4 linked regions of the Arabidopsis thaliana genome follow. The protein of the gene in region 4 interacts with the protein of the main gene of each other region in a pairwise test. Each region holds a gene or a part of one and is shown on either strand. Other genes may lie near its edges.

Region 1 (5,925 bases), on a different chromosome or scaffold from region 4:
CGGTAAAGATATTCTCTTTGTCCAAATAATTCCATAATATTTTGACAAGGAAAACATTTTAAACTCATACAAATACTTTGAAGATAATATTATTTATCAAAAGTTCAAAACTATCACTGTATCACATATTGACGCAAAAGTTTTTTTTTTTTTTTTAACGTTCTATAATAACCTAAAGAGTGTCAAACATTGACTAATATTTGAAGTTTTTCTAATGCAAACTAAAAAAGAAAAAAGAAAAAGAAAAGAAGAAACAGATCCCTCAAATTAATGAGGAAACCCCGAGGTTGGTTTACGAACCCAAGTTGAGTAAAATAAAAGATTAGTAGTAATATGTGGATAAGAAAATTGTAAAGTTGGCTTTATGGTTAAAGAAAATGGGAAAAAAATAGTGGTGGTTAGATTGAAGTGGTCCAGATACGCCGTCAAAGCAAAATAAAACTCCAAAATGTAGCGGCCCAGCCCATTTAATTACTCCTATAAAGATGGTCCAATTGCAAATGAAAATGTGTTAAAATTTCGGAAAGCATTATTTCTACTACGAAGGAATTTAACTAACTTAATAAAGAAAATATTCTAAACTTTGGACCACACCAATTATTATACAATGTGTTGATTTCTATTGTAAATCATTTATATCAACAAAAGAGTCATAAGTACACTCTAATTTCGTTGGTTAAGTGCTAAAAATCTTGCGCGGTTTAGCTTTCGGATTAGATTTTATAAAGAGTGCTATAATCAACCAGCGATTCTGTGATCAGATGTGGGACCTGCATCTTCTGTCATTGGTTACACGTGTACGGTTGATACGGTGGCTTGAGATCTTCTACTGCTCTGTAGGGCAAGCAAATATTTGAGTGACATGTGTTATGATTAATCATGTCGGCAAATACAATTACGAACGAATTATCATCATTATCTTCACTTCTTTGGCTAAATTGCTAATGGATATTGGAGGAATTTATTAGGTTTTAATCCGACATATAAGAGTATATACAAAAGAAAAATATTAATTTTTCAAATTTTATTTTAGAAAAAGTTTCATGAAATATTTTGCGTTAACTGCTACTATAGTAAATTCGTGATTGTTACTTAATGGTCTAATTTATCCTTTAAAAAACCAAAACAAATCATTTTTGTGTGATTAGTTGTTGTAGCTAAGACATTGTCATTTTATTTTCAGTATAAGTTACTAAATTCGTTTATATATATAATTAAATTGCAAAGTATGCTACAGTATGACATATAATGAGTGCAGAAAAATAAAAGATGATGCCATAATACTATAGTGAATGAGAAAAGCCTGCGGATATTCATGCCTAATAAAAGTCTTTAACTCCTTATGGATAAGATATATATGGGAATACAAAACATTTAATTTATATTTATTTTTTATCTTACGTTCCACTGACGGATTATAAATAAATTTTTTAGGAAAAACTTTATATTTGTTTGTGTGTGCAAACTTTATATTACATATATTAGTCATCAAATGCTTCTATATATTGTGACCAATTCACAAATAATGATATAAATATATATATATTCCCATCAGTTTTTCTTGGTATAAATACAATTAATTCAATTCAAACTTATGACCTGTTCTGTCAAGAAAACGAATCTAGTAATTTATGACTGAACCAAGAAGAGAATGTTTCTCACCGTACAGAAGAAATCAATGCGTGATGAGTACTGAGTAGCTGTTAGCAGTCACCTCTAATTGTATGAATTTATTTTGTTGAAATATGTTCGTTAATCGTTAGTACTTGTTGAAAGTCACTACGTACGTATATATGTAGATAAAAAAAAAAAAAAAATTCTTTTAGGATTATTGTTACACGTATAATGTAAAGTTATAACATAAGTTCTTAACAACTCTTTGCATAGTACCGATTCGGACTTCGATTTCGAAAGCCATGCATGAGAAAACCAAAAAATGGAGCCAAAACTTAGATCCGGTTCAATTCGAGTAGGTTATGTCAAAGACGTAAACATCTACAATAGGAGCTCCATATAAGTAGAATACAACCAATGCCACGCTGTAACATAAACAAAGACAGCGAGAATCTGTTAAAGATCTCTCAGGTTCCAAAACAAAACTACAAGACCCCATTATGATGTTACTGACATTTAACTAAAGCCTTGTGCTAGTTGATCCTTAAGGAAGATGTCCTGTCGTGATGCTCAGTTTTATTTCAAATTCATATATACGTGTGTGTGTGTGTGTGGTGATCATGATTAATAGGTTAGAGACAGAGAGACAAAAGTTGTGGGCTTTAACAAACCCCAGTAAAGAACAATAAGTAATTTTGTCACGTAGGCTCTGTTTTTGGCTCTTCAACACCCAAAGTACCTGTTTTTTGAAGATGTGAGACATAAATTATTACTTATGATCTCAAGTCAATAAACTCATCAAATCTGAACTACCCACAATCCAAACATTGAACACTAGCTACCTTTACATATAGAGTTAATTAACCATCCATCTATTGAGAAAACGAGTAAAATATGTATTCGGTTGTTGTTCTTGGTAAGAAAAGATTATGAGCTTACGATCCGAAATTTCTTGGTTGTGATAAGTTATTAATGGGAGATAGAGAGAGGTGATATGCCCATATGGCATACCACATGTGGTGGGGGATTCGAAGATTTGATCTGGACCGTCTATCACAAGAAAGAAAGATGAAAATATTTTGTTTTTGGGTTTGGACAGATGGGAGAAAAAGAAAGTGTCCCCACAAATGTCCCCAAGAAGATGGGACACACTTTTGCCTCAAAGTTGCTGTTACTGCTACCGACAAGCTTAGCTTTTTTTCCTTTGTCCTTAATTCAGAAAACAGTTTCTTCTCTCTCTACCAGTATCTATCTTTATTCTCCTTTAACTTGTATAAAACACTCAGCTTCCTCGAAGCCTCTCATCTTCATCATCAGCAGCTTCTCTATATCTCTCCTCTCTTTCAAGGATAATAACCAAAAGCTTTTCTTTTTATCTTCTCCTGCAATTCTTGAAGAAATGGATGAGTTTGTTAACCTCAAGGAAACAGAGCTGAGGCTGGGATTACCGGGAACAGATAATGTATGTGAAGCAAAAGAGAGAGTTTCTTGCTGTAATAACAACAATAAGAGAGTACTATCAACTGATACTGAGAAGGAGATTGAATCATCATCAAGGAAAACTGAAACATCCCCTCCTCGAAAGTAAGTTAAACTCACACAAAAGTCTCTGAATCTGTAGTGGTGGAGAATTCAGTTGATTGACCGTGTTTCTTCCTTTTTGCAGGGCTCAGATTGTTGGATGGCCACCAGTTAGATCTTACAGGAAGAACAACATTCAGAGTAAGAAGAATGAATCTGAGCATGAGGGTCAAGGAATCTATGTGAAAGTAAGTATGGATGGTGCACCATACTTGAGGAAAATAGATCTGAGTTGTTACAAAGGATACTCAGAGTTGCTTAAAGCTTTAGAAGTGATGTTCAAATTCTCTGTGGGAGAGTACTTTGAGAGAGATGGATATAAAGGTTCAGACTTTGTGCCTACTTATGAAGACAAAGATGGTGATTGGATGCTCATTGGTGATGTTCCATGGGAGTAAGTCTTCTTTCATATACCTGTCTGAAAACAATTTCCACAAAATCAAAAATCAGAAACAACAATTTTGTAAGTGTTCTTATGGGTTCTGTTTGTTGTTGCAGGATGTTCATATGTACGTGCAAGAGACTAAGGATCATGAAAGGATCAGAAGCCAAAGGTTTAGGCTGTGGTGTATGAGATATATCTTCAAGAAATCTAACAGAGACACAAAAGAACTTGAAGAAAAATAGAGTTTCTTTTGGTTCAGAGAAATCTCTGTCTGTGCTTGGGTTGTCGGGTTTCTCGGGCAAGATCTATGTTCATTGGATTGAATCCAATTCATAGCCTTTATTTACCTCATCGGTAAAATTCAAATGTAAACATGCTTAATGGTCTTAAGCATATGAAACTGGAACCTAATTACATTTTGTTTCAGAAACAGGGCAAAAGGTTGTCCTTAAATCTTTGGTTATGTGTATTACATTAATTAAAGTGTTATGAAGATTGAAGAGTTGTTTTTATATTTGTAGCAATTCTGTTTTGCGTTCTCATTGATCAAAGAGATTTTCAAGCAATACCCATTTTCTATTTTGGTTCACTAGTTCTTAGATCATATTATTGATGGTCGAGGTTGGATTACTCCCATTAATTAATACAATTCGATCAAAGCCAACATGAACATAAATCAATAGAAACAAAAAAAAAACTTATCTTATATGAGAAATACGTTTTGCCCAAAGCTTAGGGTTCATTTCATCAGCCAAAAACAACAGACACCTACCTCTCTGCTTTCATGGCAACATATATATACGCATTAGATCCAATCAGAAGATGTAAGACTAGACAGGCCGTAGTAATGAGTGAAGCTTTTGGAATTGATGAACTGTGTTACGAGCTTCTTCGTTTTCTCAGACATGGCGGGAGAGACCTTGTTCACGCCTGAAACAGCAAAACGAATAATATATAATCAGCTTGTAAAATGCAGATTCTTTAGTTATAGAGTTTGAAAGATTGATGCAAATGTACCAATAAGACTTTCAACAAAAGTACGAAACAGAATTCCAGGAAAGAGTCGAGAGAAAACTCACCTGTAGCTTCTTCTTCTTAGGCCTTCTCTTCCTCTTGGGTTTGTGAGCATCAGAATTAGAACTCAAGTTGCTACTCTGACTTGTATGCGAACTAGTGGCAGCATGTGAAGACTGGCTTCTTCTATGTGAAGTGTTGCTGGAGGAAGGTATCTCATTCCTCTTCACAGATGAATACTGACGAGATGTTGATGCAAACCTTGACCGTGGTGGTGGCATTAAAACCCTAGTAGAGTATGGCTTCTACAATAAAAGAAAAGAAATCACTTACCAAAATACTAACATTCAATATATAACACTTCATTTTCATATTCTTTGATCCCCCCCGGAATTGAACAAGTTACGTTTCTGACTTTCTCGGCGTATAAGAGTCCCCAGTATCATGCAACAACAAAACTGTGAGTAGCTTTCGCATCATACCTGATTTCTTTCGTCACTGGACATGCTCGATGTTGCTCTACCAGAAGCACTAGAAACCGGCTCTCTGAGAAAAAAACGCTGACAACAGTCAGAGATGATCTTTACTGGAAACGTTAAGCCAGAAAAGAGTCAACAATCGACTTCTTCTAGCATAGAAATCATATGGAATTTAGAGGTGAATACACCACTAGCCTCGTTGACTCTTCTTCATCTCTCATGTTATACACTAATACAATCGATAAACTACACTAAGTATTGAGATTAAAGAAACTAATCCACATTTACAAGGCGTACTTTGTGCTTTTATCAGTCCACTCATCATCCGCATCTGCTTCGTCACTTGAACTTCCGTTGACAAAGAAGTCATCGTCACTCAGGTCCAAAAGAGCATCATCTTCGCTCCCTGTCTCTGTTTTTCACACGAACCAAAAAATATTAATGATCAACATAATCAGTATTTTTTCAAAAGCCAACAGAAGGTCGGAATGCATGCAATGACAAAAAAAAGCACGCTGCCCCAAATTTTAAACAGAAATTCAAGGGAAAAAGGACCCATATAAACATCTCCACATATCATCATTACCTTCCAACTCTTTCCCACTGGCAGCAGCAAAAATTATGTTGGCTTTGATTTGCTTCCGCAATTTACTTCTCCGCTCAGATACTTGTAAATCATCAGATCCACTAAATAGCGATACATACTTCTCATTCTTGGGGAAGAACTGCATTGCACATATCAAGATCTCAGTAGCATTATTTCAACAGACTCATTCTATTGGATAACTAGGAAATGTAGCAGAGGATAACACGCTGAAGAAATTGTGAAAAAGAAGAACTCGTCTATTCTTC
Region 2 (5,714 bases), on a different chromosome or scaffold from region 4:
CCAGCTCTTAGTCCATTGGCACTACAGAAACTTCTCCATCCTCGTTTGATGAGAGAAGTTCCGGATGATTTCTTTACTTTCAAATCTAAAGTCCATGATTTTCCCTTTTCATTAATCAGAATCATCTCTCCACATCTTTTGTCTACACCATTTTCCCTCATAAAACGCTTTGGAAGATACTGGAACAATACAACATAAGTTTCAGACACTAGAATGAGAGTTTCTTTTGGGATTCAAAAGTAAGAGTAGAATACCAGTGTGTCATAGCGTAGACTCGAAGGGGAGACATTAGCCACAAAACAAGAGGGATCTTGTGAAGAAGACTCTGCCTCTCTTGTTACATTCTTCTTCACTTTCTCCTTCCTTTGAATCTTTTCTGAAAAAAAGAAAGAAATAAAATCCATATGAGCACGTTTCTTGAATGTCAAGTATCATGGGCAGAGTTAGAGAAAGAAAGAACAGAACTCACCAAGGTTGCGCTCTGCATCGCTTTCCGGTTCTTCGGGAAGAGACACTTCATTAGCTTCCTCTTTTGGCTCATTGGGTAACAAACGTAGAACAAGAGTTCCTGCTCTTTTGATCAGTTTGAAAGTGTAGTTATCTCCAGCTTTAAGCCCATTGGCATCACAAAAACTCACCCACCCTCCTCTAACATAAACTGTTCCGTTTGATGGCTTTTGTCTCAAGTTAAAATTCCATGATCTGCCCTTTTCATTCATCAGAACAATCTCTCCAGATCCGACTACACCATTATCCCTCACAAAACCCCTTGGAAATCTCTGAAAAATTCATTAGAATACAACATGAGTTCAGACCCTAGAATGAGAGTTTCTTTTCGGGTTCTTAAGAGTCAAATACCATCAAGTCATAACGTAGACTCGAAGGCGCAACATTAGCCACAAAACAAGAGGGATCTCGTGAAGAAGACTCTGCTTCTCCATTTGGATTCTCCTTCACTTTCTTTTTCTCTGAAAAATAAGTGTTATATAGTCAAACTGGTTATCTCTACTCACTGATCCACATTCCAAAAGCAAACCACGTTTCTTGAAGAGCCAGAGACAGAACACAACTCACCGTCACCGAGGTTGTTCTTTTCGACTGAACACGAACCATATTGAATCCCACAACAACTAGGTCCCAACAGTGTTACATGGAAAGCCAAGTCACTCTCTTGTCTGAAAACAACAATGTCACCGATTCGAAGATCATGTGAGACAGCAAACTCTTTCCAACCGTCGGTGAGTCTCTGGCCATCTATCTTCACTTCCCAAGTTCTCTTTGACGCGTCTGATCTCAGCTTCGCCGTCTTCTGCTCATATCTTCCTTCTATATACTTCAAGAAGAAGGCTACAGGAATTGTCTGAAGCAACATGCAAATACAAAACCAGACTCATCTTTAGCTTCTCAGAGAGACATAGACAGAGATAGAAGAAGGGAAAGAGCGAGAAAGAGAGTACCAAGGAGGCGTGGAAGCCAGGAAGAAGAGGCTTGAAGAAATGTTGATGCGCCATTTTCAAAATCTTGAGAAGTCCTAAATGGCTAAATCTGAAAGTCGACGGTACAGTTTCTTGAAGGAACGAGTGTAATAAACTCCAACTTGAAGATGACAGTTTATTGGTGTTGTTGAAACTATGAGAGACCATTGATATACTCAAGAAGAGACCATTGAAGAGACTTTTATTGTGGTTAAACACTCTGGTTCGGTTCAGGACTTTCAGAATTCATATGTATTGGATTGAAATTTCTTGAACCGAAGTAGACCGAAAGTAAAGTTCGGCTCGGTTCAATTTTAATAGCATAAATTTCGATTTGGTTCAAGATAAAATATTGGTGTCAAATTGGAACCAAAAACCAATTTCAGGTCGGTTTACTGTAAGAGAGAGTTCATATTTTTCAATAATTTTAATTAAACTTAAGATAAAAATTGGTAACTTCAATTAAATTAGAATAATCGTTTGGTTTCAGTTCGGTAACTATAAACCGAACCGAGTACTGAAGTATTACTACAGTAATTTTTATTGAGTTTACTCAATAAACCTAATCGACTAATCCTAACCGAATTCATATTCCTAAATTCTAATTTACATTTTTTTTGTCTATAGATGACACTAAATTTCACTACTTACAATCTTTTCCACTTTGTTAATTTCAATAAAGGTTTCCCACTTGATCAAATGATCTTTCTAAATGTAAAAATATAAAGCGACTTTGTAAAATTACTTTTAGTACATATATTTTTGTTTTACAACAAAGAAACCTTTCATTTTGTATACCAAGAATTACAACAAGAAAATCTAGTATGAATTTTGTTATACAAATTTCTTATACATTTGGGCAAAAAATTGTTTTTTTTTCCCATGTTACAGTGTTACATATAAGGATGATGGTTTATTTATTTTGTTGGGCTTAATTAGTTTTTGTTGTTGAGCTTTATTTACTTTAATTGTTTCTTAAATATAAGAGATGTTACAGTGTAAAAAAATAAAAAGTCTCGCAACTCACAAACCCTAAAATTGTCCCTTCAGTTCCCACTTGGTACTCATACCCGAGAATCTGAAAGAAGAAAATCCAATGGCTCCTTTGGAAAGTCCAGCAACCGCTTCTTCAAGCGAAGTTGAGAGTTCTTCTGAAGAGATCTTTAAGTCTTCTTCTGAAGAAAGCAAACCCAAAGATCCTGTCACAGTTCCTTCCTCTAAAACCCTAAAATCTCCTTCCGCCGCTGTGAATTCTAAGACAGATTCTTCTGATGACTCAGAGAAGCAGTCATTCGTCTTAACCAGGCGGAAGAAGAAAGAAGGTGCTGCTGAATCACCGGCGGTGAAGTCAGGGAAGAAGCGAGCTGGTGAAGGAAGCACCTCAAGGGACATGCATGTCAAAAGAGTTAAGAAAGAGGACGATAACAAAAAGGCGAATCCTCAGAGAGTATGGAGTGAAGAAGATGAGATCTCTCTTCTACAGGCAGTGATTGATTTCAAAGCTGAGACAGGTACAAGTCCTTGGGATCATAAGAATGCGTTTTTTGATATCGCCAAGAAATCTATAAGCTTTGATGTTAGTCATGTCCAGTTCTTTGACAAGATTAGAAGATTAAAGAATAAGTATTTTGTTAACCGGAAGAACAAAAGTGGTGAATCGAATCATGATAAGAAATGTTTGGGTTTGGCTGTTTTGATTTGGGGATCTGATGGTATGAACGTTGAATCTCCTGTGAAGAAAGATGAATCTATTCTTGTTAAGGGTAAGGCTAATAGCAAGGAGAAGAAGGTGGAGAAACCTTTGGTTATAGAAGATGAGCAAGTGATTCTTGGAGCAGATTCGGAGTGGTTTGAGGAGTCTTTTCTTGTTCCGGTTATCGCGAATCTCGGTTTGGATGAGTATTCTGTGAAGAAGAAGTGGAGCAAGGTGTCTCTGGAGACTAAGAAGAAGATTCAAGAGAAGATGAAGGTTGTGGACGCTAAGAAATGTGAGTTGTTGTTGGCGGAGATGGATGTTTTGAAGGATGTGACTTCGGTGCTTGCTCAAACCAACTAAGAAGAAGAAGAAGAAGAAGCTATCTTAGGGATTGTATAGGGTTAATCTAAGGATGTAATGCCCTCTTTTGTTATCTATCTTAGGGTTTATCTTTCTATCTACGTTTATGGATTTTTAGTCTTTTGGATTCTCGTGTGAGAATTAGCTATAACAAGATTAAGATAAGTTGTCTAACAAACCTTTTGGTCGATGGTTGTAATGAACTTTTAGGATTTTGTAAATGTGCTTCTTTTTTTAATGTCTCTCTACTCAAAACTCATGACCAGAGTTATTACAAAACAAAGAAACACACAATAGAATGGATTCACAAACATATTCAACAAGAGTTCTAAATAGCTTATATGGTGATAGGTTCAACCTCATTAAACAAAATGGATTCTGAAATGATGTTTGTAAATTGTATATTTATTGTTTATGATAATTACGTGCAGTTTGAGTTATTCTGGTGACACTAGTTCCTCTTTCTCAAGTACCAAATGCAACCAAAATAAAACATATACATTTAGTTACAATCTTTCACAGAAGTTATTATGTCTATAATAAAAAAATTAAGAGATTCTGCATCTTGAAACTGCAAAGTAGGTGAGGAAATAAAAAGAAACATAAATTGTGTTTATGAGCATGCTTGTTGTTAGAGTCCCAATATGTAGTAGAGTAGCTTGCAAGAAATCAGAGTTAATTATGCGTTTAAGAGCATGCTTGTGTGTGTAAGTGTTTCAAGTAAAACTATAATAAGTATGTGTGTTTGTATCTTGTAAGAGAATCACCCAAGTTTTATTATCAAGACATCATGCTCTTAAACGTGTTCTTGTTTCTCTCTAAAGAAAACAAAAGCAAAACAGAGTGACAAGAGAGTGAGAGTGCTGACCTCAAAAGAATGTTGGAAGAGGTAGTTTGAGAGTGAAAGTGTGATTTTCAACAGATATCTTCCTCACGTAGAAGAAGTTGAATGGTTAATATCAATATTGTTATGTATAACCAAGAAAGCTATAGAATTGCACTATGATATTGTGAAGCTGCAGAAAAATAAACAACAGTAAAGTACATACTTGAACAAGAAAATGAACTTTGTTAGTCCGCGTACTTGTCTTAACTCTTATGCAGGGGTAGCCAAGCAATATGAAACATTTAGTGTGGCCCATTTTTTTTTTTTCAAATTCTTTAACAAAAATTATTTACAAAATGGCCCCAATTTTATTGATTTTAACGATAATTGGCCCTAAATTTTAAAACCTTTCAAAATAATCTTGGATTTTTTGTTTTTTTGTATGTTGCCCATAAAACCGTCAGGTCTTAGGTAAAACATCTATAAATTAATATTCAATAAATTAATAAACTTTATAAATTAATAAATTCATTCAATCCCGAGTTGAAACCAGTGTAAGAATTGATACAAATCGATAAATTAATAAAATAATAACTTTTTGTGAAAATCATATGTAAATATTTGGTCCCATCAATATTATAAATTCACTAATTTATATATATATATATATAGATATATACTAAAATATGAATATAGTATTCAATTTGTATTAATTCTTTGTAGAATTTAATTCTAATATTTTTACTAAATCGAAAAATTTAGTTTTGGTTTTTAAACTTGATAATTGTTTAATAATTGTAATTGGTTTCAAAAATATTATTGATTATAAGAAAAGAAAAAAAATACCTTTTTTGATTGAATATTATAAGAAATTACATAATTTGTAAAATTTCTTTATAAATTAATATCTCTTCAAATTAATAAATTTTATCAATCTTAAAATTATTAATTTATAGAGATTTTACCTAATATGCATTTTTAACTAAAAGTCATAATGTTATATATTTTATTTATATTTAGAGAATAATATATATATTAAAAAAAAAAAAAAAAAAGGTTGACAAGTGGAAATATGTGACCGGCAATAGTAAGTTAAGTTGACCAAAACCAAAACCAATAAAATCAAAATCGAGAGACTCTTTCTTCCCCCAAGCGAAGAAGCGATGATCAAAATTTTACAACGGTTCCTCCATTTTCAGCGAAGGTAAGTCTCACCTAATTCCTTGGAACTAAGCTCCGCTGTGATCCGAATGTACTTATATATCTCTCTCTTCTGATCAATTCGCAAACCGCCATTGTTGCTTTTTTGAAATTTCGCTTCTGATGAAGAAATGTTGATCGGAGAAAACGTTGAAGA
Region 3 (7,195 bases), 2.0 Mb from region 4:
ACAGCTAGATATACATGTAATTTAAAATGTTATCTTTATGTAGTAATTTATTGCGAGGGATGAAATATCTGACGGAGGTTTTATGTGAAAACTCGAAGGTGTATTTGATTTTCGGTCAAATATATTTTAATGGCTCTCTCGTATATTGATGATCACGGCTCGGTACATTGTCCTATTACGAACTCGATAAAATTAATTATATTATTTTGTTGTGCAAATCCGATTTAGTAGCTCGTCGTTTGACCCTATATTGAGACATATAAAACATATAACAATTTGCAATAAATAATTAGTTGTTTTTGTGTATTTCTAGTTAAAAAAAAATTGAAAAAATTGTGATACAAAGAATTATAAAAACGTTGACAGCAACATGACTGACTAAACGAAGAAATATCTTACGTACATTACATTTTTTTTGGGGTCAACACGTAGATTATAAATTCAACAAATCCTTAATACGAGAGAGGTAAGTATATTATGGCCCATCAAGAAGGATAGTGGCTTATGGGCCTATGTTATAATATGAAATAAAAGCCCAATTATAAATGAATTTTTATATACTAGAGTGCAAAGTCTGGGCCCAAAGTAAACAGTCTAACGTGTCTTGTCGTTTGATTTCCTCCACTCTAATTATAAATTAATTAATTACGGGGAAAAAGATTAATTAACTTTAGTGAATCCATCATCAATCAAAGACTAATAAAATAAGCGTGAAGGACAAAAGCACTACGGGTCTCATTGTCTTGTCTCAACCCGCATTATTTGTACTCGCAAATGCTGCTAATCTGATCTACTGTTTACTTTTGCATTTTTGTAATAATTTATCTGTATTACTATTATTGTTTTTTACCAATCACTTTTTAATTAGACACATATTTTCATGTACTCATAATTTTAAATATAATGTCTGATGGTAGTTGTAGTAATTTGAAATAATTAATATCCTTTACTTATTATACAGACGATTAAACAAAATATGAGAAAGAGAAAATCAAAACTTTTTACGGGGAAGGTTAAGAAATGCCGTATTATTATTCTGGACGGTGAATATTTTTCTTTTACTTTCCTCTTTGTGCATAAGGTGTTAAAGACTTTTTTTTTTGATTAATCGTCTTTAAATCTTTGGTAAAAGGAAAGAAAAAAGGTTAAAAAGAATAGAGAGGGGTAAAAAAGAGATAACGTGAGTGGTACGGAAGAGTGATGATGAAAAAAAAAGAGTCAGAGAAGGTCATGATGATGATGAACGGACACAGGCCTCTCTTACTCTCTTACCATCAAATCCTACGGTCAGATTGAGATATTTTGTGCTTCCCATGCGTGTTCTTCAATCCCATTTCACCCCTTTTGTTATTATTATGCTCCCCTTTCCCCAATTCCCATTACCTTCCTTTTTTAATTACTTTGAATTTTTTACAGTAATTTTTTTTATGTATATTACACCCGACTATAATTTTTTTCTTTTTTTCTTTTTAACACGAAAAGAATGTAACCGACTATAAAAATTAACATACATAATTTACCTGTTTATTACCAACGAATTTACTTTTTTACTTTTTAACCAATCATCCTTATTACTATGGATTAAACGTTGTGTATGATGATCGTAACAGTGCAATTCAGACATATTTAATACTCCAGAAATATGTATGTTGTTCACATTCAAATTTTGTACTTCTAACAATAACACCACAAATTATACTTTCAAAAAATGAGATTTTTTTTTTAAACTCAATTCGGACAAACTTGTATGTATCTAATTTTTGTCATGACTATAATTTTGTTTCAATCAGTTTACTTATTTAAGTGCAAATTCAACAAAAATAAAAAACAAAAATCTAGCACGTGACGTAACCTTATGAAAAAGATTAATCTATAGTCATTATTAAAGTTACTTATACTATTTACCCATTCATCTATCTAGAAGACTACAATGAATGCCAAACCAAAAAAAAAAAGCAAAATGAAAAATTCAAGTTTGGGGGGACTAACATTTCTCAATGGGCCCCATCCAGTTGGGCCAATCTAAGTAAAAAAAATTGAAAGATAAGGAAACGTAATAATGAAAGTTAAAGAAATTAGGAAGGTGGCGGAATTTAATTAAATTTAATCCGAAAGAAAGAAAGTGATTATAAAAAAAGATTAACAAGTCTTAATTAATTTTAGATTAATAAAGTAGAGATAGAGAGAGAAAGGAAGAAAGTGGAAGAGGTTAGATGTCCCATTCACCACCCGGCAAACCGACTTGGAATGCCGCTTTCTTGTCCCCTCCTCACTCCTCTTTTTCTCTCTTTACCATTTTACCCTTCATTCCTCAATCACATTATCATCACATAGAGGTTACATTAGTCATTAAAAACAAAAGGATAGAATCGGAATTTAATATTTGCAGACAACCATCCCCTTTCGGGTGGAGCCAGAAAAGTGGCATAATTTTGTTTAAAGATCCGACTCCCGACATTTGTACATCAACGGTTCATATCTGCTGATTTAAATCCGACGGTTTAGAATTATCAGCACGATCAAATCTGAGCCGTTGGATTAGAATCCATTCGTAAATAAAAATACGCAACTTTTTCCACTTATTTTCTATTCTACCACTTTGTTTAGTTATTTTAATTTTAATCTCGGCTACGAGTTTCTGGGTAATGATAATTAAGCTTTTTTCTGCTTTAATGGAAGGACCTTGACACTTCTCTCTCTCTTTCTCTTTGCTATTCATCTTCTACAGTTTCTTAAAAATTATACTCTTCTTCTCCAAAATATCTCAGACTCTCTTATTTTTGATCGTCTTCTTCTTCTTCGTTGTGAGCTTCCATTTTTCATCCAGGATTTGTTTTTTCCGTTTGAGGTAATTATGTCTTCTCTGTTCTTCTTATACATAGTTTCAAATCCGGTAATTTTTAGCTTGTTGTTGTTTGTGTGTGTAGTTAGTAGTTATTAGATCTATTAGCTATTGAGTTTCTTTGCTGATTTCCTCACTATTTCTATGGCGAATTTTGGTTTGTTTGAGCTGTTGGCTTAAACCTTGCTAGGTTTAGTGATTTGTAGATAGAATTCTGTGGAAATTCAAATCTGAGATCAGCTCGAAAAATGTAACTCAACGGTGTAGTTTCTTCATCTGACCTTAAGTTGACTTCTATTTATTTTTAGCTTTCCATTTTTTTCTCAGATTGAGCTTTATTTTGCTCTAAATTTTGGTTGTGAGTTTTTCATAGATGCAATCTACTTTTGAAACCCTAATTGATACGGTTTCGAGTTTCTTCGAATTTTGATTGAAATTGAGTTCTTGATTTTTTCTGGTAATTTAGGGTTTTGTTTGAGGATTTGTTTATGGTTATGTGAATTTAATGTGGAGGACTTTGTGCTGTGTAAATCATCAGGTAAAGCAGCTTTGCAGTTAAAGAAACCTTGAGTATCCAATGTCCCCGGAAGAGGAGCTACAGAGCAATGTATCGGTGGCTAGTTCTTCACCTACTAGCAATTGCATCTCCAGGAACACTCTAGGAGGACTTAAAGAGCATAACTACTTGGGTCTCTCTGATTGTTCTTCTGTTGGAAGCTCTACTCTCTCTCCCCTTGCTGAAGATGACAAAGCTACTATCAGCCTCAAGGCTACGGAGCTGACACTTGGTCTTCCTGGATCACAATCTCCTGCGAGAGACACAGAGCTTAACCTTTTGAGCCCAGCAAAGCTAGATGAGAAGCCATTCTTTCCTTTGCTTCCTTCTAAAGATGAGATATGCTCCTCCTCGCAAAAGAACAATGCATCGGGAAACAAAAGAGGCTTTTCTGACACAATGGATCAGTTTGCTGAAGCTAAAAGTTCAGTGTATACTGAGAAAAACTGGATGTTCCCTGAAGCAGCAGCCACCCAGTCTGTAACAAAGAAAGATGTGCCACAAAACATACCCAAAGGACAGTCTAGCACTACAAACAATAGCTCTAGTCCACCTGCAGCCAAGTATGAATAGAAGATAGGAGCATTCGTTCGATTTTGATATGGATTACTTTCAACAGCTAGCTAACTGGTGTTTTTTCGGATTCTGGAATTTTCAGGGCACAAATTGTCGGTTGGCCTCCAGTGAGATCCTACAGGAAGAACACATTGGCCACTACTTGTAAGAACAGTGACGAAGTTGATGGGAGGCCAGGTTCTGGGGCTCTCTTCGTGAAGGTCAGTATGGATGGTGCTCCTTATCTGAGGAAAGTTGACCTGAGGAGCTACACTAACTACGGGGAGCTTTCTTCAGCCTTGGAGAAAATGTTCACCACTTTCACTCTTGGTGAGATGTTTCAGTGATTGCTAGTGATGTGTTTGAAAACCTCTTTCTATTTAAGGATCAATGAATGAGTGCAGTCAAAGTAGTTAACCTGCACTGTTTATTTGATGTTTAGGTCAATGTGGATCTAATGGAGCTGCTGGGAAGGATATGCTTAGTGAGACCAAGCTCAAGGATCTTTTGAATGGAAAAGACTATGTGCTCACTTATGAGGATAAGGATGGTGACTGGATGCTTGTTGGAGATGTTCCGTGGGAGTAAGTTTCCTCTCTTATATTCAAAACTTGTTAGAAGCTTTCTCTACTCTCTGCCAGATATCTTAGAATCAAATCTAACATGCCATAGAAGATTATATCATGGTGATTGGTATAAGCGCTCATGAGTGATTTCTGATCCGATGTATATTACAGGATGTTTATTGATGTCTGCAAGAAGCTGAAGATAATGAAAGGGTGTGATGCTATTGGGTTAGGTAAAGTCTATTCTTCTCTCTGCTCCTAAGCTACAACGTAAACTACTATCTCTACTAAAACCGATTACAAGTAGTGTGTATGATGAGATTAGTGGTTTGTTGGTGTGAGTTACTTGTAGCTGATTTAGAAATTTCAATTCATGTTTGATCACTCGTCTTCTTTTGGGAGTAAATACAACAAATTAACATGTAAATAAAATCGAAATTAAACTGATTTCAATTCATGTTTGATCACTCGTCTTCTCTGATTCAAAATGTCTTAATGATTCAATGTGGTGAACTGGTGATATTGCAGCTGCAGCTCCGAGAGCAATGGAGAAATCGAAGATGAGAGCTTAAAAGATGGAACATGACAAAGCTTTCTAACTATACAAAATATGTGCGATCTTTTGGTGGTGTTTTTAAATTTCAAAACATCAATATCTTTAGTTTCTGAATTTTTAAAATGAAGTAAGTAAGACTACGAATGTAAGGAAATGAAGAAGAATTAAAAATGATCTATTTTTGTTGTTTGTTTGTTGCTTTAGTCAGTAAACTGGTCGTTGTTTTATGTTTTGTGTTTGATTTGGATGTGTGGTTGACTTCTACCTTTGAGATATTATTTGATGTAACGTTTTTGTTATTCTCTTCTTTGCTTCTTCTCGAGAAGAGAAGATAGACAATCCGGTTTTACGATTTGGCTTTCTATCATTGAACATGGAGGTTCTTCTTCTGCATTTGCAAAACAATCTTAAATATTAATCAGTACTTAAATCTTTGAGGTGGATTGTTAAATTCTAACACATTTGAATGCGGAAGTGGTAAACCTACGTTTTTCTCAATGTCTATGACTCTATTCTAAATGGAATATCAAGATTAATCAGAAAGAAAAAAAAATCTTTTTATAACTGTCATAACTAAACTGTGCTACCAAATCATTGCCACCAACGGATCTTTAAACCAACTTGAATAATTCACCTGAAGAACCAAAAGCTACAAGACAAATCAAAGATAAATAAAAGTAATTTCGCCGGGAAAAGGTTTTGATATCATTATTTCACTTTTTAACCTTCCATGAAACTTTGTTTACCTTAGCAAGCATGGGCTGCGTACAAACTCATGATAACTATATAGTACAATCCCCAAACGAAGATATCATAAATTTCAACGAATCAGTTTTAGATTTAGTGAATAACTATAGTTTAATAGTATCGAATAATATCGTTTGAGAGAAAAATAGTCAAAGATACATGAACATAAATTCCCATATACTAATTTCCCATTTCTCATTCAAGGAACGTTTATTATTTTTCTGTTCCTGAAGGTGGAAGCATAGTGCGCCTCTTTGGGTTTGGCAATGGTGGTTTGCTTATTTGTTTTATGAAAATTATTTTTGTGATATCATTTATTGTTCATTTTTAATAATTCCGTTAGCGTTGACAAAACAATATGATTAAACCCCACCTAAAATGAAATGTTATATTCAACTGTCCAATTTTTCAAAGAGGCGTTAATTAATCAATTCCAAGGCATATATTCGATCAAGATAATTAAAGACTCATATAGTACTCTCATAGTTTAAGAGAACCTACGGGTCGAATTTAAATCACTCTTGTTACTTTAAAACTTTAATCCAAATAATGTAGTATATATCTGTGATTCTTGTAGCTAGCTTCACGTGAACTTAATAGTATACACATAAACAACAATCATTGGTCGTGAATCTCATTTAATTCGTTTCGCTTTGATGCACTTATTCGAATGGGACATACTATATACATCCATATAAGTTGATAAACTATATAGTAATATTCAATGTTTTTAAAATTAAATATATGAAATAGACTTAGGGAATGACATGTCGAATTTGTCTCCAAAAGATATGAATTGAATTATGCTTCTCAGTAATGGAACGTGGCAATACCTTTATCACTCATCTATATATGGTTGTTCCCCAAAATTATTTCTTCATCAAACGAGAAAAATAAGATTGTAAATGTAAATGATTTGATCATCTCAATGTTGCATTCAAGAATAGTATCTATAATATTTAGTTATAAGCATTAGGTATTAGGTCAATTATATTCAACTGAGTCTACGAATCGAATTGCATATTGCGTAAAAATTCAAATAAAAGAAGCTAGATAAATGAATATACGTACGATTACGAGAATGAATGTGTGTTTCTTCGATTTGGTAGACCTTCAACAAACCCACCGAATTGATGGTATCCATAGATTTCTTATCAGTTATCAGTCATGGGAGAGATTTACGATCTCATATATATGGACAAAATATATCGTATCAGCATTATTATTGATTTATTGTTTAGTTAAGTTCTTTTTTTTTTGGTTTTTCCTTTTTTTCTTTGAAAGGTTTGATTAGCAGTTTTGTCCGGACAGACCAAGTATATATATACAATAATTGTGATTGTGTTAGGACATTCAAAATCTTCCATACAGTT
Region 4 (5,867 bases):
CATCATAACCATCCTCAGCCTCATCATCATCTTCATCCTCAAGACCATCACTATCCTTAGCATCATAACCATCCTCAGCCTCAACATCTACTTCATCCTCAAGACCATCATCATCCTCAGCAACATTATCATCCTCAACAGAATAATCATTATCAGAATCGTCAGAATCATCACTATTAAGAACGATAACATCATCACTAGCCTGAGATTCTTCTTCACAATCAGATCCCACTTTGATGATGTCCTTGCTTTGCTCTGAACTTCTCTTAAGCCTCTTACACGTAGTCTCATGGTCAAAGATAGAGAAATTAAAAAAATGAGAGCCATCAAACTCAAATGACAAGAGATCTCCACCGTTCAGGTTTTCGTCCCTTACAATCTTCTTCCAACCACTAACCATAACAAATCTCTCAACCTCACCACCACATTTCTTAAACCCTAATTTCCAAATGTTTCCAGAAATGCTTCTAACAGTTACAGTTTTAGGCAAAGACTTTGGTAAACAGCTGTTGAAAGAAATGGGTAGTACCTGAAAAGTTTCTACAAATTTCAAGCAACCAGAAAACAAAAAACAGAGTGAAGAGAAGTGTGTTTTATTACCAGATCATCACCGGATTCACTAGGAAGGTACGGTTTAAAGAACTTTGAAGTAAAACCATTAGAGTAATTTCCTGTTCCAAAATAAGAAAAGGAAGAACATCAATGTACAGAGCACATTACAAGGGAAGAATCAGGAACAGAGAAGTGAAAAACCTCTTGTGTTCATTGTCGTCAACTTCTTGTGCTCTTGGAAATACTCTGAACCCTAATTTTGATCGGAAATAAAAAGGTGAACAAAGTTTCTCCAGATCCAAGTTTTTCCAGATGTGATTTGATCTAAAGGTGTTGGCCTTTTGTAGCAAAAACTTGCAAAAACAGAGGGTTCTCTCTGTTTCGATGCTTTTTCCTTCAAATGGAAAACAAACCATTAATAGTACTCTTCTTATTCAAAAATAATTCGTTAAGCGGACCAAGGTATCGCTAAGGCCCAAACAAAAAACAAGAAATGGGCCTTAAGTTTGGTTCAATCTATATCGTGTAAATGACATTATCGTCCTTAAACAAAAGAACCACAGTAAAGAGTCGAGAAGGGTATATTAGAGAAAGAAGGACTTGTGACATCTCAATTCTTGAACAAGAAACTTGAAACTTGAAAGAAGAATGAGATAGTGTTAAGTGGCAGAGTTCCAAGTATCTTAGTATTATTCTCCTCCTATGCCAATGCTTTTCTTATGATCACATAGAGAGTAATAACATTCTTTTTACATGAACTCGCAGGTTTTAAACAGCCCTGATGTGTGAACCATTCATAATGATTTCTCCCAAAATCTATAGCTCTAGTATACATTATTATTGTAAGACTGTGTTGATCGTCTTTTGCACTTCATGTTTCAGACAAACAAACAAAATCAAGAAGTGTATAGAAAGCATCAACATCGATTATGTTCCGAGAAAACCAATAAGATTCATAAAACCAAGTACTCTACTCATATAAAAACTCTCAAGTAAAAATAGATAATGTCTTGGAGTTAACGCATAAAGCCTTATCAAGAGATCATCCTCTTATAACATGGACCTTGATTTCTCGAACAAGACCATCCATCTCCTTTTCTAACTCACAAATCACCTTGTCATTCAACTTCACATTATTCCTTCTGATTATACTACGGAATCCCTTGATTGTTTGACCCTTAACTTTCCTCTTCAATTTACCAAAGTTTTTCTCGAGTGGATCAATCAAATTGATGAACTCAGGGAAGTGTAAGCCATACTTCGTTATGACCTTAGTTGGTATGCGCAGCTGCATTACAAAGATAACATCATAAAACAGAAGTGGTACATTATTTTAATGAAAATGCAAAAAGACATGAGACTTTCTTCACATTTCTTACCATATTATATTTTATTTGCCGATGCTGGTTCACTGTAAAGAAAGGGTTCATGTGATTATCCAGATATTGTCTGTCATGCTCTCCAGAAGAACCTATCAAAATTTATACGCAAGAAAATAAAAAGACAGTGATGCTCTCAGTCTCAGTTAACTTCACAAGACAAAAGTTTCTATTATACCTTTCTTTTTTTTCTCTGTTTTGACTCCTCTCCATCTTTCTTTCTCAACATCAGCATGATCATCGTCACCATAATCTTGATCATCATCATCATCATCATCATCAATAACTATGATATCTTCACTAGATGTATCTTCCTCAACATAATCTTGAACATCATTAATATCATCATTATCAGCATCATCAAGAGCTGTAATATCTTCACTAGATGTATCTTCCTCATTATAATCTTGAACATCACTAATATCATCATCATCAAGAACTATGAAATTTTCACTAGATTTAACTTCTTCCCCATAATCTTGATCATCATTAAAACCATCATCATTGTCATCAAGAACCGTGATTTGCACTGAACTTCTAAGCCTTTTACACGTTGCACGACCATAGATACAGAAATTGAAACACCAAGAGCCATCAAACTCAAATTCTAAGAACTCTCCACCTTTCAAATCTTCGTCCTTGACTATCTTCTTCCACCCATTAACCATAACAAATCTCTCACTATCACCACAAAACTTCCTAAACGCCACTTTCCAGATGTTTCCATAAATGCTTCTAACAATTACATTTTTAGGCAACGACTTTGGTAAAAAGCTGTTGAAAGAGATGGGTAATTCCTGAAGAGGAAGGATCTAAAAGTTTCAATAAACTAAAAATCTACATATAACCAAAAACAGAGAGAGAAGTGTATTTTTACCAAATCATCTCCGGAATCATCAGGTAAGTACACTTTGAAGAACTTTGGAAGACAATCATCCACAGAAATTCCTGTTCCAAAGCAAGAAAAAAATCAGAACATAGGATAGGTTATGTGATTGGAGAATCAAGAACAAACAATAGCATAAAGATCTTAACATAAAAACAAGAGTCTAAAGAAGAAACCTCTGTTCATCATCTTCACCTCTTTGAAACCCTAACTCTTTTAGTGAAAGTGAAGGTGAAAATGGTTCTTGAAAATAGAAAAGTAAAAGAGCTTTGTTAATAGATCTCCGATCTTTTGGTTTGCTTTAGAGATTTTGCCTTTTGTAGCATAACACAGAGACTGTATTGTCTTCTAGGCTTATTGCTACAAATGGAAAAATAAAACATGTGCTAACTACTTTTACTTCAATGCTCCATGAACCGAACCGATATGATTTTAATCAAACCGAAAAAATATTATCCTAACCAAACCAAACCAATAAAGGGTGAACGAGAATTTAAAATTCAAATAAATGGGCTTTAAAGTCCGGCCCAATCGATTTGCTTTAAATGACAATAATAACCTGAGATTATAGAGAACGTTGGTCCGATCTTCTTTCAATTTCAAGTTTTTCAACCTCTTCCCGCTTACGAGGCCGGGATATTCTATCAACAGTCGTCTCTTCCATCGGCCGAACAATTTCCGATTTACCGACTAGGATTTTCGCCTACAACTTCCGAAGAGATTTTCTCAGTGTAAGTTTGAAAAAACCTAGCTATAGGATTCCGGATTTCCTAATCGTCAGATCTTGGGCTCGAAAGAGAAGCTAGAAATGGATAAGGATCTCTTAGATATCTCTGGAGAAGACGACGAAGATAATTGGCTTCTGAAGAATACGCCGAAGAAAACTAATTCGAGCCGAGGAAAGAGTTATTTGAAATGCTCACCTCTCCAAATCCCTAGATCTAGTCGTATCGTTCCTACTCGGCCTCCTTTTTCCCCAATTGGTAAGCGCTTCAATTTCTCGTTCTCGATCCGAGCTTCGTTCTGATAATTTCTCTCTCCCTTTGTTAGAGTGTTTAAGCATCTGAATTAGCATTGTTTAAATCTTAATTTGATAAAATAGCAAATTAGTATAAATGTTGTGTATTCTGCGGATATATGAAGGTTAATACTTTTTGCAGGAAGAGTAACAGGCACCAGCAACAACAGGGAGCAGCCATGCGCTTCAGTTGATACAGATAGTGTAGGAAAGGAGAATGCTAAAGTTGAATTGCCCAAATTGAGTGTGGAGCGACAACAGATGAAGAAGAAGAAAAAGAATGCAGGGTTTAATTTGCGCAAGAGTTTAGCATGGGATAGAGCTTTTTCAACGGAAGAAGGTGACTTTTTTTTACCAATTTCCTGTTAGTAGTAAAGGTCAAAGATTTGGTCTATGTTACTAAGAATCTTAAGATGTGTGATATGGTCATGAACCAGGTGTTTTGGATTCATCTGAGTTATCTAAAATAACTGGAACTGCTTGCCATCTTGGTGGAGATCGGTTAGCTGCCATTCAGGAAGAGTACAGAGAGTCAATGTCAGCTTCCAAATGTAATGTTTCACCAGGACTACAAGCACTTGAAGAAAACTTATTTAACGACTTGCCTGTGAATAGTAAAAACAGAGAGAAGAAGCTTGTCAGTGGCATAATGCCCAAGTACGGATCACCATCTAAATCCCAATCTTCCTCGGTGAGTTTACTGGACCTAAATATTGTGGAGCTAATGAGGGTCATAAGTCGTTTCTTTCCTTGCGTAAATATATATATTTTGAGGCGCAGTCTATCTAAATGTCGAATATCTGCATTATAGGCCCAGAAAAAAGTTATCTCAGCTCAGGATTTAAGGAGTGGTTCCAAGCGCAGTGGCTGTCCCCGGCCTCCTCCTTCATCTTCATATCCTTTTCTTACTTTGAGTACTGAGTGTATAGGCAATCTTGATATCCTTTGCAGGTCTTGTTTGTGTTCTTTTTGCTTGTTTACCTTAACCATCTTGCACCCTGAAAAGACCTGCAAATGTGCATACAACAACATCACGTTGCAGGGAGCTGAGCATATCTAAAGTTCCTACTACCAAATCTGACCCAGTTACAGTTGGAAACAACATGAAAAGGACTACTCAAAGTCCAATCAAAGCGAAAAACAGTCAACCTACTCAATTAAGTATGTTCACTTCAGTTAGCAAATAAAAACTATTCATCTCATATCCTTTTTAGTTCTGTTACTTTTCATCCTGTTTATATATTGCTACATGGTTTTTTGTCTGATATGACAGAGAATTCTCAGAGGAGCTTAGGATCTGAAAGCTTCTCTAAAAACACTTCAAGCACCAAGAGTAAAACAAAATCCAGTCTGGCGAGTAAATCTTCAATTCCTAAGCCCTCTCTTAAGCAAGCTAGAAGAAATGTGGTAAAGCTATGCTGCCCTCTGCAAACCAATATAGCAAATAGTTTATGCACTAAAAATTTGCAGCAAATGCTTTGTTTCCAATATTCTTCCTATTAAGAGTAACCTATTGCATTTTCTTGAACTCTAGATCAGCAAATCTTCAGAAATTCCGACAGTATCATACTCACAGCATTCTGTTGTTGCAAAATCCAACGTTGGCCCTATGACTGCATCAGATGTGGCTATGCTTGGTCATGCATCAGTTATTCCAGACTCTAATGTAATTACTCTGGGCACCTCGTTAGCTCAAAGTTCTTGCAATAAAGCTGGAAGCACGCAGTCCGCAGTTTCACGACTGGGAAAGCCATCAGGCTTAAGAGCGCCAAAACCTTCAATTGGCTATTTCAGTCAGGTATATTATTGAAATATACTGAATTCTATCGTGAGATAACTATGGTTTTGTTCTTGTAACTCTAACATACTTCATATTTTTGCAGTCTGACTCTCAACCGTCGCAGAGTGCGGGAGACAAACACAGTCAGCTTCCCAGATCTGATGTTTGTTCAGCCGCTCATTTTTCTTTGATCCCTACCTTCAAGAAACCCCAAGTTGCTGAAAAGTTTCCCGGTGTCAACTGCAAGGCAGC

The links.
Region 1: the proteins of AT5G60142 (region 4) and SHY2 interact in binary tests that used the Arabidopsis thaliana proteins (3 or more experiments, as listed by UniProt).
Region 2: the proteins of AT5G60142 (region 4) and AT4G00250 interact in binary tests that used the Arabidopsis thaliana proteins (3 or more experiments, as listed by UniProt).
Region 3: the proteins of AT5G60142 (region 4) and IAA9 interact in binary tests that used the Arabidopsis thaliana proteins (3 or more experiments, as listed by UniProt).

The regions. Positions count from the first base shown.
Region 1 is NC_003070.9:1,126,408-1,132,332, reverse strand, and holds SHY2 (AUX/IAA transcriptional regulator family protein), read left to right. Parts: upstream 1-2,643; 5' UTR 2,644-2,713; coding exon 2,714-3,198; intron 3,199-3,280; coding exon 3,281-3,589; exon of another isoform or gene 3,590-3,693; coding exon 3,694-3,769; 3' UTR 3,770-4,184; downstream 4,185-5,925. Other genes in the region: AT1G04230 (rRNA-processing EFG1-like protein (DUF2361)), read right to left, coding at 4,505-4,510, 4,660-4,899, 5,077-5,140, 5,371-5,485, 5,660-5,798. UniProt on the Arabidopsis thaliana protein: Aux/IAA proteins are short-lived transcriptional factors that function as repressors of early auxin response genes at low auxin concentrations.
Region 2 is NC_003075.7:110,768-116,481, reverse strand, and holds AT4G00250 (DNA-binding storekeeper protein-related transcriptional regulator), read left to right. Parts: upstream 1-2,499; 5' UTR 2,500-2,571; coding exon 2,572-3,531; 3' UTR 3,532-3,777; downstream 3,778-5,714. Other genes in the region: MEE45 (Transcriptional factor B3 family protein), read right to left, coding at 1-179, 255-376, 470-779, 859-968, 1,075-1,360, 1,458-1,511. UniProt on the Arabidopsis thaliana protein: Transcription repressor that binds DNA in a sequence-specific manner, 5'-GCCT-3', to regulate the expression of PGR. Acts as a modulatory component for the glucose-triggered developmental leaf growth process.
Region 3 is NC_003076.8:26,251,044-26,258,238, forward strand, and holds IAA9 (indole-3-acetic acid inducible 9), read left to right. Parts: upstream 1-2,364; 5' UTR 2,365-2,848; intron 2,849-2,903; exon of another isoform or gene 2,904-3,092; intron 3,093-3,380; 5' UTR 3,381-3,419; coding exon 3,420-3,961; intron 3,962-4,056; coding exon 4,057-4,283; intron 4,284-4,395; coding exon 4,396-4,537; intron 4,538-4,690; coding exon 4,691-4,752; intron 4,753-5,047; coding exon 5,048-5,091; 3' UTR 5,092-5,501; downstream 5,502-7,195. UniProt on the Arabidopsis thaliana protein: Aux/IAA proteins are short-lived transcriptional factors that function as repressors of early auxin response genes at low auxin concentrations.
Region 4 is NC_003076.8:24,214,586-24,220,452, forward strand, and holds AT5G60142 (AP2/B3-like transcriptional factor family protein), read right to left. Parts: upstream 3,165-5,867; 5' UTR 3,007-3,164; coding exon 2,994-3,006; intron 2,880-2,993; coding exon 2,809-2,879; intron 2,768-2,808; exon of another isoform or gene 2,729-2,767; coding exon 2,110-2,728; coding exon of another isoform or gene 2,084-2,109; exon of another isoform or gene 2,024-2,083; coding exon 1,932-2,023; intron 1,841-1,931; coding exon 1,595-1,840; 3' UTR 1,362-1,594; downstream 1-1,361. Other genes in the region: AT5G60140 (AP2/B3-like transcriptional factor family protein), read right to left, coding at 1-529, 601-671, 754-766; AT5G60150 (uncharacterized protein), read left to right, coding at 3,626-3,800, 3,978-4,175, 4,273-4,526, 4,647-4,729, 4,833-4,996, 5,109-5,242, 5,370-5,633, 5,719-5,867.